2 linked regions of the Drosophila melanogaster genome follow. The protein of the gene in region 1 purifies or fractionates together with the protein of each later gene. This does not show direct contact. Each region holds a gene or a part of one and is shown on either strand. Other genes may lie near its edges.

Region 1 (6,756 bases):
AGTTGGAATTTACTTTGTGTAAGTAATTAAAAGAAATAAACTAAAATAATTTTGTAGTTTATAATCTGTCTCGTTTCAATGAACATAATCTTCGATCTGTGAAGTATTGTTAGATGGAAAATTGCCATATCTCGCTTTTTCAGCGATTAGAATGACAACTAACCTTATCTACGTATCCTTTCGCCTTTCAGAGCGTTTACTGTATGTGTATACAACAAACACAAGTGAAAATCGATGAGAGACATGTCCCGTTGTGAGAACATCTGTTCGAGGGTAGCAGCAGCTGTGAGAGGGGGCGGGGTCCTGCGAGAGGGCGGTGAATTTTCTGGGTGGGTATTTCCCATTTACTATTTCTCCGCTGGTGCATATTTTTTGGTCCTAACAAAAACGAAAGTTGGTTGAACTTCGACAAAATTTTCGTGCCGGCTGCGGCGAAAATAAAAATAAATAAGGATAACACGAATAGTGCAAAGTGGCGAAGAGCGAATAACGGCGGTAATTATTGTCCTTGAGCGCAGTCCGAAAAGGGAGAGAATGGGAGAGCCGCAGAGAGAAAGAGCAGCTGATGGGAGGACAGAAAAGGAGGAAAAGGATGAACCTCCGACGGCTGCTGCAAATTATTGATTTTCAAGCAACAAAAGGAAAATTCGCCACTGCAATGGAGATGGAAAAACTTCGTTAGCTCACCGGCAACAAACCTCCTTTGCTTAAATGCCGCACCCTAAAGGTATACACATACGCCAAACATTTTCGATAAGCAACTAATTTAATTGCTTTATCAGTACTTGTACATATGTAAACTCTACTTTTACTTTTTCTGACGTCAAAAGAAAACTTTATAACTAACAATTTTCTAATCAACTTTAATACCATTTAACTTTGTAATATAAAAATGTATGCTTTTTCCAATAAAATGTTATTAACTTCGTACATTAAGTATTATTAAGAACAGTTTAAACTTTACTTAGGAAGTAATGAAAACCCAATTTTTTCCGGAGCTACGAAACCGGCTTGAAGAACACCTTTTCTTTGTTCTCCCTTACGAATATACACTATACAATAGCGGTACGCACCTGCGATGACAGTGTCGGTAAGTGAGTACTTCGTTCCAGTCCTGGGAAAGTCCTTCAGCTTGCGATTGGTCAGGATCAGTTCGCCGCTGAAGTGCGCTTCTTCCAGGATTCTTTCCAGGGAGCGCGTCAGCTGGGAATGACTAAGCAGGGCAGACGAGGTGGAGGAGGAGGTGTTTCCAGCGTGGCCTATTCCAGATCCCGATCCTGTTCCAGATCCTGGAAGGGAAGCCGACCCGCTGCCGATGGCGCTGCCAGCGGCGCTGCCGACGCCGACTGCGACGCTATGTAGGCGTTGGTAAACCGTTGCTGCCATTTCCCGTGTAGGCGTGGCGACACTTCCACACACTTGCACACACACACGCACGCGCTAAACTATCACACCGATAAGGAAACGGAGTGAAGTGCCGAAAGAAACCGAAACTGGAAACTAAATTTGCTCTATTGAAACGCACGCATCTCGATTATTTTTCATTTAGTGTACGTCTTCTTGGCTCATTGATAAGATTTCTCGGAATTGGATTTTCCTTTTGCGGCTTCCTTCTTGCTTCCTCTTCTTTGCCTCCTCGCACACACGCGCACTCACACACGCACAAGCTCACGCAGCAGACGAGCGACAGTGCACAACGAAAATCGAAAAACAACTGAATCGGTTTATGGGATGCTACTTGGGCAGCGCTGGAAACGTTGCTGTTAGTTTAAAATCGGCGTGCCTTTGAGTACTATCGATAAAATACCACAGTGCGCCGATGATACACTGGCTCCATTTTTATCGCAATTCGAAATGTCAACAATCTTACATTTTATAATGTAATGTAATGTTTGTTTATTCAGAATGATCTACCGTTTAGCATTTGCCCCTTCAAATTTAGGGCATTATTAGATTACTGAGTCGTTATTACACCGAAACATTTCATATAACTACTTAAAGAAAAAATGAACAAATGACCAGGTAACCTGGTATTGGAACCCGGCAATAAACTGGTTGAATATTAAAAAACCATGTTAGACTAAATTATAAATTCGTTAATTTGTCAGTTGTGTGGGCTCAGATCACAAATCTGAATAAGCTCAGCGACGCTTCCATTATTGGTGACATAATTTCATATTTTACATATTTATATTCACGAATAAATATTCGCCAATTTCCTACAGGGTGTTTTTGTATGACCGCATTACTCTAAAAATACCTCGGGAAAATATAGCCGCAACTATCGATTGGCGCGCTGCACTGGAGCTGTGCTACCATCGCTAACTCAGTGCAACAACAAAATTCCAACGCAACGCCAACTAAGTGCAAAAAAAATCTAAAATTTGTGTAAAATTGTAAAATCCCAATCGCGTATATTTCTAAATCGTATTCGCACAGCACAGTATGTAAAGCACTCCAGTTTATTTAAGTACTGTGTGTGTGTGCGGTAAACACACACCAATAAGAGTGCGTTTTCGCGTCCCTTTTCCCACCCTCTTCTAATGGTTCCCTCTTCTATAACTGTGTCAAATCAGCAGCAACAATAAAATATAGAACAGAGCTACAGCGTGCGTGTGTGTGTGTGTGAAATGCACAAATTGATAAGCAATTTGATTCAATTTAATCTTGTTTAAGTCTGATGAATATCAGCGCAAGCAGCCCAACACAAAATTATAAATAAAAAGTTACGAATTTATATAAATAGAATACCCTTGAGTGATTTTGTTAGTCGCATAAAATTAATTCAATACATATTTGTGTTCCGCATTTTTTGAAAATATAACGAAGTTCTGGCCAACGAGAGCAACAACAAAAAGCGGTCTTGTTTGTTTTTCAAGCTCAACGAAAAAAAGAAGAAAAGAAATCTGCTCTCAGTCAGCTGTTTTAAAGCAGCCGCCTAAGTGCGAGTGAGATAGCTGCCTGCGCGCCAAAATAAAGCAACAACAAAAGTGGAACAGTGGTTCAAAACCTAGCTAAAAATAAAAAAAATCCATTTATTTTTGTAGCAAAAATATAAAATAAAAGCAAATTAAGCGAATTATACATATATTTGTTAAGGTAAGTGATCAGCATTCCATTTATTTTACCAAAAATTATTCTTTTGCACTTGTTTTTCCCCCAAGTTTTTTAAATCGTTTACTTTTAATACGCGTGTGTCCTAATAAGTGAAGATTATTAAGAATAAAGTAAAAAATGAGTGATGATACGAGCGCTTCGGGCGGGACAAGTGCCCCTTTTCCATCGCCAGTTACTGCGGACCCGGAACCAGGAGCCACTGCCTCCAAATTACCGGGTCCCATCAGATCCAATATTCCCACGCCCGCTACTTCTGGTACCGGAATCCCGCAGCCCAGCAAAATGAAGGCACCATCTAGTTTTGGATCGACGGGTTCTGTTTCCAAAATCGGAAGACCGTGCTGCAATCACACAACTCCCAAATCCGGTCCACCACCAAGAGGTAAGTCTAATCGCATTGTGCAACAACGCAAACCAGTTAGTATTATTGCTCAAAGCAAATATGTTACTAAGAGCAGTATTTTTGAAAGTAGTTAAAGGTCTTAATTATCCCCTGGGTTTAATTATCATCCATTTTACAAGCTAGAATTTAAAGCAAGATGAAATTAAAACACATCTGAACACCAATGGGAATTCAACCAGAGCCCCTTTGAAAATCTTGTCAGTGCATTGTCACATACATATTAACATCTTAACAAAGAACATTAATTTCACAATTCAAGAAAAGGGGTTTTTACCGATTTCCACTTTTATACGCGAGTTCTTCACTTATAAAACAGTTGGAAGAAGTCTGATAATTGAATTGCTCTCCGGAAAATATCGCAGTAAAATATGTTTCAATAGTATAGCCCACCACTATACTATCACCAAGTACTCATGAAGGTTAATATTAAAAAATGTACCCACATTCAAATGGGAAAACAGAAACCCAAAAAGAATGGTGAGTTTAAATAATGCACTTTTAAGTTTGACATTGTAAAGGGGTCATTTCATCAAGTTTACTTACTCTCTACCCTCAATACCCGAGATTTGACTACTTTTGTGTTTGCATCTTTGGCTCAAGCAAGTCAAGCATCCGCCTACATATATATATGTGCACCCACAAGATGTAGATTGCTGTATACTATAAGCGAATGCAATGATCTAATGGAAACGATGACAGACCCACTCACTTGCTAAATATATACATACATATACGCTGACCCCACCCCATTTGAGTGCACTTTTTGCACTACATTGAACTTGCAATTATTTCGGCGAGAACTCGCGTAGTTAGTGTAAATTCTTCTCTAAAGAGAAACCATTAATAATTCCCAGCGTCAACTGTTTCGTTTGGTAAACAAATGCTTCACTTCTTTCAATTATTTAATCGTTTTGAAACACCAACGCACAATTCAAAAATAAACAAAACAAATTGCCGCCCACTCTTAACTCTCGATCATAATTATAGAGCTGCCCCGAAAAGTGTTTTTGGTAAGGAGAATTATGGCCAATTAGGCAAGTGCTGCTACCATTTAATTGATCCGCCCAATGTGGCTCATTTCAGGCACGTAACCGCACCGCAGTCGTCAACATACGACGACCCACTGGCCCATATAGCAAACGATCTGCCAAACGATCCATGGATCGATTGACGGGTTTTCTATTTCGCCGGCACACACGTTCCATATCCGATTGACAGTCGCAATGCAACCGCAAAATCGTAGAAATTTATTCCCTGTAAATTTACCCAAAAACACAAAAATTTGTAATGTTTAGGGTTACAGAAAAAACTGAGTCACGAGGTGTATTTAATTTGCATCCATAGAAATAGTTTACACGGCGCTATGTGCACTGTGATCATTTAGATTATCACTTTGTATTAGATTGGTTTTGTAACTAGTTTGTTTGCCCATTTATACATTATTTTTAAAATCGTTTATTGGTCGTTTATTGCACATAATTATTAAACCTATTTCAGAAATTAAGCTGTTTGCTTGGCTCAATGAAAGTCCAGTTTGTTTTGATAGCTCCGAATTTTTTGCTTTAGTACATTTAAATTTCTACGCTGATTTGTTTCAAATACGCCAGTGTTGATCGCCATATCAAAGAGATTATTCCGCATTTTGCCAATTATTAACGAAAACGAAGTGATATACCGCATGTCCCAAATAGTTGAACTACTTTAGTCAATTAGTAGTTTATGCGACGCGCTGCTTAAAACCAAATCCGTTCCAAGCGCCTGAGCGCCTTGATCCGCTGCCCAGATCAGCTTTCTAAAATCTCTCCTAGCATTCTGGAACGGACTGTTTGACTATCTGCCAAGAGACCCGTCATTTGGCCCGCCATACTCAATGCCAAAAGTCTGCGAAAATCTACTCAGCTCAAATGCGACCGAGAAAACCTGGCGACCGGCCGGCAATCTATCTCTACGTCGTCGTTCCCTAATTGAATTTGTTCTGGCGATGACACAGAAAACGTACTCAAAACGTATCTTCTAGCTTGTTCGTGAGCTCAGATCTTTTGAGGTGTTTTTGCGCTGCGCATTTGATGCCGGGTTCCGTTCTCAGTCGATCTGATATGAAAATTGCGGTCGTGGTGCTCGTGGATGAGCTTATGTCACTTTTATTGGTTTCGATCGGAAACAAAAGTGAAGTGAGCCTCTCTCCCACCCATAAAAACGGAAAGCTCATTTGTCTTCGCATTAAGATTGAATCGAAAACGCGTTCGGGATTGACGTCCAATGGATGAGCATCGTCTGGCGGGGGATTACTCCATTCGATTCTAGATTGAGCCCAGTTCTGTTTACATCACCGACTCCGTGGGAGAGTCAATATTGATGTTATGATTAACCACTTTTTGTCTCACTTATTTGACTTCACATCATTAAGTCGTTGAAATCTTTATAATTGAAGACACGTGTTGCATATTTAAGCTGAAAACGTCTCGGGTTTCAGCCAACAGAAAACAGTATCTTCTCTTAAAAGGAATATATATACATATTCGATTTGATAAGTTATGTATTTGTTATAGTTTAGAAAATTTTATTAAATACGTGTTTCAATATTTCAATGCGCTTTTTTGTGCATTGTCTTAAAAGCTGATTCATAGATGAATCTAAAGATAATTGATTCTGATTAACTGGCATTTAGTCTCTGGAATTCATTGTTACAATCTCGTCAAGCAATTCTTAAATTGTTTTCCTACGTGTAAACTTTATATATAATTAGACACAACCCGGCGTTTAAAAACTTTATCGAATCTTTCAATAGCCACTTCAAACATCTTTAAAGAAAAAATAATAATTTTCCAAAACTTACATACTTTTTTATAATAAATTTCACTGCTTATAAATATTTATATTTTATGAAATATATAAGGTCACATAAGATTTCTTCCAAGTCGAAATCCAAAACATATTTGCCTATTAATTATTGAATACAACAAGAACATATTTTTTAGAGTTTTCAAAGCCAATATGGATTGTTAAAAAAACCCAAAAAGTGAAATTCCATTTTTTCGAACTCTTGCTTAGTTATTTTCATGCATTTACTGCACTTGTGATTAGAGTGCTAAAAACCATTGAGCGATCGATCCATATGGTATCGAAGAAAGGGAAAATAAAATTGCAGCCATGTGGCAATTCTTTGTTTGCCGGATTAACTCACTTTGCGTGTCCGTGCAAAAGTCGAAAATAAAAACATTTTTTTACGGCTCTTA
Region 2 (5,570 bases), on another chromosome or scaffold:
GCGGGTCTCTAATACCAAGATAGCAATACCCAGATACAACCACTTCAGGCGGACGAGGAGAAGGTGGAGATATGACTAACATGGTACGGAGCCACCCCTAGTCGTTTTTGGTAGCAAATTACACCGATCCCCGGCCACTTACGGGGAAAGCCTCTACCAATTTCCATTTGCACAGCCGCTTGCAGCCAGGTAAGCCAGGTAAGTGGAAACTCGAATGCCTCATCCGATGGCAGTCGTTTGTCAATCAGGCGATCACGATCACTCAGACCTACGCGCTCTCTTTCACTTCCAATTGAGCTGCGCTGCGACAGACAGACAATTAAGCGGGTATTGCAAAAATACAAAGAAATGGTCGCAGTTGAGTCTAGCGACTAAGAGATACCCATTCTTGTTCGTTGAGATACCAGTTTTCATCAGCTAAAAGAACTTAGTTTCATTAGAAAATTATATCTTATAGTTAAGCAAGTACACCAAGTAACTTCAACTTTGAAATCTAGTATTACAAAGTTAGAAGGGTTCAACCATACTTACTTATAACTTATAACTTACTATAGTTAGTAAAACACAATATACCCCTGCGACAATTAATAAAGACGCTCCTGATTGAGCTCAATTAATAAGCGGGGCGCTGACCCATTATGAGAGCGAAAAATCAAAGACGGAAAATCGTACGATACAATGGCTCCTATTTCACACTCGTTTCTCGTTCATTCGCTAGTGTTATTTATCTAAATATTTGCAACAAAGGCTGGCGGAATATTTGATCCCCAGAATGCATCCAGGTGGTGGTGGTAGCTGGTAAAGTTAAGGACAGGAAAATAATTAGTCACCTCACTTTTTATTCATTAAACAACCCCTCTTGGAACTTTTACAAAGAGTACGGGCGGTATGTGGGAACCAATTGTCCTGCTCCACGTCACTAAACTTAAAATATATAGGGAACAAGAATATGAGAACGCACCGTTGTGCAGCCATCGAAATCTATATTTTGAAAAGTTGCCAAATCTTCTTGCTTTGCTGAAATAATTATAGTATAGTACTGAGAACTGAGTACAACACTATCCAACATTCTGACGGATAAACCACTGCGACTGTGGACCAGTCGTGATGCAGGTGTTGCAGAAGAGTGAACCACTCGATAACACCGCATTCTTAACCCATTCCATTCAAACTTGGCCATTTTCGTTTGCATCTTTCATAATTAAACTTAAAAACAGCACGATCAGCGGTGAATCTTTTTGAAGAGTATACTGTTTATATATACTGATATGCGGTGCATCTTAAATTACCATATTCCAAGCTTTAAGTTTAGAACTGGCTACACAAATAGGATAAGTAAAAACTACTGCATCTACGAAAATGAGTATCTTAAAAACCCATCTAACCATTATGGATTTGAAAAGTAACGCATATTTAAAATTAGCGCCAAAACTAATCTCTGGTCACACTGCAGGGCAGATTTTGCGCCCTAACTATCGGCAGCGGTGGTGGCACCTCTAGCGGTCAGCTGTTTTGCGCGTGCTTGTTGTTGTTTCGGTGCCGTTGCTTTTCGAAGTCGAAAATCCAAAAGTGGATTGTTGTGGATTTGATTTCAGTTCGACTCGACTCTCCAACGCGACGGTACGCGATTCGAGACGCTCGTGCTGGTCGCCTTCCGATCGCCGCTTGAATCTTAAATCTAAACTGTTAAAACCGAGGCAAACAAACACAACACCCAGCTGAAAATACTTCAAGTGTTACAAACTTTTGGAAATAGTGTATCGTGGCTATAAATTGCAAGTTCTAAATTCGAACCAAACAAAATCCACGCAGGAGATCGATTCCAAGTGGATTGCGCCTTCATCAATGTGTTCGTGTGCGTCCCCGGAAACATAATCCCCATTTGCCAGTAACTTACGCACGTACAGATTTCCAGCCGTCTTAAGGTAAGTGGCCAATATCTCTCTGGAGGAATAGGGGTAAGGGGATAACCGCCTGACAGCGAGTGGTGGTCACCTGTGAAGGCGGATTTGCTGCCTTTTGCTTTCTGTTGACTTGCGCTTTTCGCCTTTCCGCCTGACATTGGCACATTCTTGTCCACGAAAATTGGTTACCTATGTACAATATGCCAGTGTTGCAAACAAGAAATCGATTAGCAATCGCGGAAGTGACTGCACCCTACATATGAGTACTTTCAACTGGGAATCGTTTTTTGCACATAAACTAAACCAAAGTACAATTAATCATTACATTTTATTAATTTCTATACCAAGTAGTTACATAGAATTTAGCTCTTTTCTGGCTTTGGTAAACTTATTCTAACCATGACTCATATTTGTTTTGTTTGCCCTCCAATATTATTAGTTCTCTATAGAACAGGAGGTTCAAACAGAAAACGTGACCGTAAATCGAACAAAAGGAGTGCGCAGTCGCAACAGCAAATGTCACCACCATTCCTGCAATTCCCACAGCTGTCCTCCTACCACGCATCCTCATCCACATCCCGCACCCACAACCATGCACCCTATTCCATGTGTCCATATGTGTGTGTATGTACATAATTCTATTTATAGACAGGGGCCCATGTCAACGTCGTCAGTTCACAGTTGTTGTTGTTGTGTTTTTAAAGCAAACTCAAAGATAGTTTTGTGTCCCGACCATTTTAATTGAGTGCGGAAATGAGCAAACATTTCTTGGAGCCACACCCCCCTCCCTTCCCTGTCAACCAGGGACACAAGTGTCGTTCTCCCCGATCGACTGACTGGCCGTCTGATTTCCCATTCGAGGCACATTTCGTTTATTTATGTGGAAAATAGGGGCAGAGTAGGAGCTGGAGGAGCAGGGATGTGGACGCCGCTCCTGCGCATGCGTGTCCATGTTTGCAGACGTGCCCAACCTATTCTGAACACTTTAAAGCCAATTAAACGGGTTCGTCGATACCCTTTCATGTGGCCAGGGTATCTATATTTCTCTGGGGGGGTGAGGAATGTTGTCCTTGTTCACGGGAATCGGTGGCTAGAAACAAACAAGAATGTTTATATGGGTGCTAAAACTAACTTACCTATTTGCATTTCCCTTTAACCAAGACATTTTACTTTATAATAAATATTTGATGGATTTATTGAGGTATCACTGTATCATTTCACCTAATATTCGCACAAGGGTGTCGCGCATATAATTCCATATAATTCGAGATCCTTTGCGGTGCACTGGAGGAAGTCCTGTTGTTGTCCCTGTGCTGGCTGTCACTCAAGCCCCGTTCAACCCCCTTTCAAACCGACGTGACCTCCCCCTCGCCGGGTGGCAAGCAATTCCCAACACGCGCCACACAGCTGACAGGATCGCAGGATCACAATCCTGATCTCCATTGCCGTCCATTGTCAGCGCCGACAGCTGCCTATATGAATTATATGGAACCTTCGACGGGTTATACAGATATGTAGCCCAAAGTTTCTCGAATGGAGGCAAACCAATCTTTTTGGAGTGGCCAGCAGTTGGGCTCGAGATGCGTTAGACCAATTTGCATATAATACAAAAAGAGAAACACTGAAACGGCCGACGATTGTTCAAAGATTCGCAGTGAAAGTCAGCCAGAGTGTGTGGTTTAATTGCAGCTTTTGTTTTGATAGTCGATTAGCATAATTCCAGTTGTATTTTGCTTCTATCGTGGCATCGTTGATGGATTTTTTATGTACATGCCCCTCTTGTTTTATTCATGTACATTAGTTTTTTTTGGTTTGTCCAACGCAACACGTGCTTATAAAATATTGGATCAATATATGCAATGAAAGTTCCGTTTCAGTTTCCTGTTCAAAAATATATCAACGGTGATTCAAACTATATATTCGGAATACAGTTGTAAATATGATAAGATAGCACTCATTTTTAAACACTAAATAAATAAATTATTTCAAGCTTAAACTTCAACCACTTAACTAATGTGAATCATGTATGATGATAATGATACGACCATTTTTATAGTTACAGTAACATTTAAATTCATAATCCATAATCCCATAATCTGCAACTTTTTTGTCAAAAAATTTTACTTTCGTTTGATTAATGACTGTCAGTCTATTTATAACTTTTCAATCGTTAAACAATCATTTAAAACAAAGGGACTGAAAATAGATTTGCATAGCTATAGTTTTCGATGGGAAAGAGGCTCGACTTTCTGCAATTTGCTAGTTGTGTGGCCAATAAATTTGGTTATATTATTCTCATTACAACGAAACTGAATTATATTTACCTGCTATTTATTTTTCTGCCTAGCGTCAAACGGGTAATTGTGCTGGGGAACTGAGATAAGATTAAGTGTGAAACGATAACACATATTTGGGAACACCACACACAGGCCGCCCAAAAAAACAAAGGCTGGCTAACACAAAGCCCCCAATGTGACCCAAAATAAACGAAGTGATCCATGCTTTTTTCCCCCATGCTCACATATCCGCCAAGTGCAAAGTAACGACTTGCAGGTCCACACCATATGGAAAATCTGTGAACATGTGTCGTGGAAAATGAGTTATAGGGTCGTCACACAAATCCATCAACGTCTGTAAAATGACTTGGTTAATGGCAATGGCAATGGGAATGGAAATGGGATTCGGATCTGGGTCTGGGTCTGGATGTGGGATAGCCAGCGGTTAGCATTTGCATTTTAATTGCATCTCCGAATTGTAGGAAACGAGCAGCGTTAATTGCCGTTTGGCTCACAGGAAAAAAAAAAAACGCTTTTCAATTGTCGGTAGTTTTCCGGCTTTTTCGGATTTCTTTTGACTGGTCCGCATTAATTGGTTCCACTTGCTCGACGTTTAACTATCGACAGTCATTTCTTCGCCTTACATAATCCCCCTTCTCTACGCTTCATCTTTTTTTTTTAACAATTCCAAGTCGTTGAACCCGCACTGCAACTGAAAGCACTCGACTCGGCATTTGTGGGGCATATGAAAAACTTTAAACTAAACTAAAATACGAAAAAAAAAATTAAAAACAAAATCGGACAGGGATGGCAAAAATAACAGAGAAAGATTGAAAAACAAAACGCTACGAAAAACTTGTTTCGGTTGTGACTTTTGCGCATGCTCAGCGTTTTGCTTGCCAACGCTTTACGGTACAGTGAACTCTGGCCCCGTCACCGTTGCGTTTCCCGCTTTCGGTTAAGCGAAGCAAACTCTTGTTCCTGTGACGTTCGGGCCATAAATTTTACAGCTGCAACTTCTATTGTTGCAAGTGTAATTGCTTTTCGACCAATTTTCCCCCCACATTTTTTTTTTTTTGTTTTTTTTTGGGCTATTCGGATGGGCCAAGTTGGACCATTTAGCCCGAGTGACTCATCACTCTGAACCCATTTGGTAGTGGCTACTGGCAGCTGCAAAATCTGTGGCTAAAACAAGTTCAACTGGTTGCCCAGCGGATGGCTTCTAAATCCGTGCAGTCGCTACAGTTAGGGAAAGGCAGCTACTTAAATCGGGAATAATATGGAGTGTCTATCGAGATGATATTCAATTTCCATTATCATCTTCAGAATGTGGGTAATAATATATAGATACTTTTTATTATGTATATTCACATATGTCTGGGTCACCTTT

Evidence for each region. Proteins that work in one complex are often made in the same cells at the same time.
Region 2: the proteins of CLIP-190 (region 1) and jar purify together in Drosophila melanogaster (affinity purification with western blotting; 3 studies listed by BioGRID, with this or other methods). This does not show direct contact.

The regions. Positions count from the first base shown.
Region 1 is NT_033779.5:17,382,397-17,389,152, forward strand, and holds the start of CLIP-190 (cytoplasmic linker protein 190), read left to right. Parts: upstream 1-2,618; 5' UTR 2,619-3,099; intron 3,100-3,164; 5' UTR 3,165-3,234; coding exon 3,235-3,499; intron 3,500-3,749; exon of another isoform or gene 3,750-3,933; coding exon of another isoform or gene 3,934-3,997; intron 3,998-6,756. Other genes in the region: Lrch (Leucine-rich-repeats and calponin homology domain protein), read right to left, coding at 1,074-1,386. UniProt on the Drosophila melanogaster protein: Together CLIP-190 and jar may coordinate the interaction between the actin and microtubule cytoskeleton. May link endocytic vesicles to microtubules. May play a role in formation of furrows during cellularization.
Region 2 is NT_033777.3:24,267,254-24,272,823, reverse strand, and holds the start of jar (jaguar), read left to right. Parts: upstream 1-1,590; 5' UTR 1,591-1,925; intron 1,926-5,570. UniProt on the Drosophila melanogaster protein: Myosin is a protein that binds to actin and has ATPase activity that is activated by actin. Together CLIP-190 and jar may coordinate the interaction between the actin and microtubule cytoskeleton.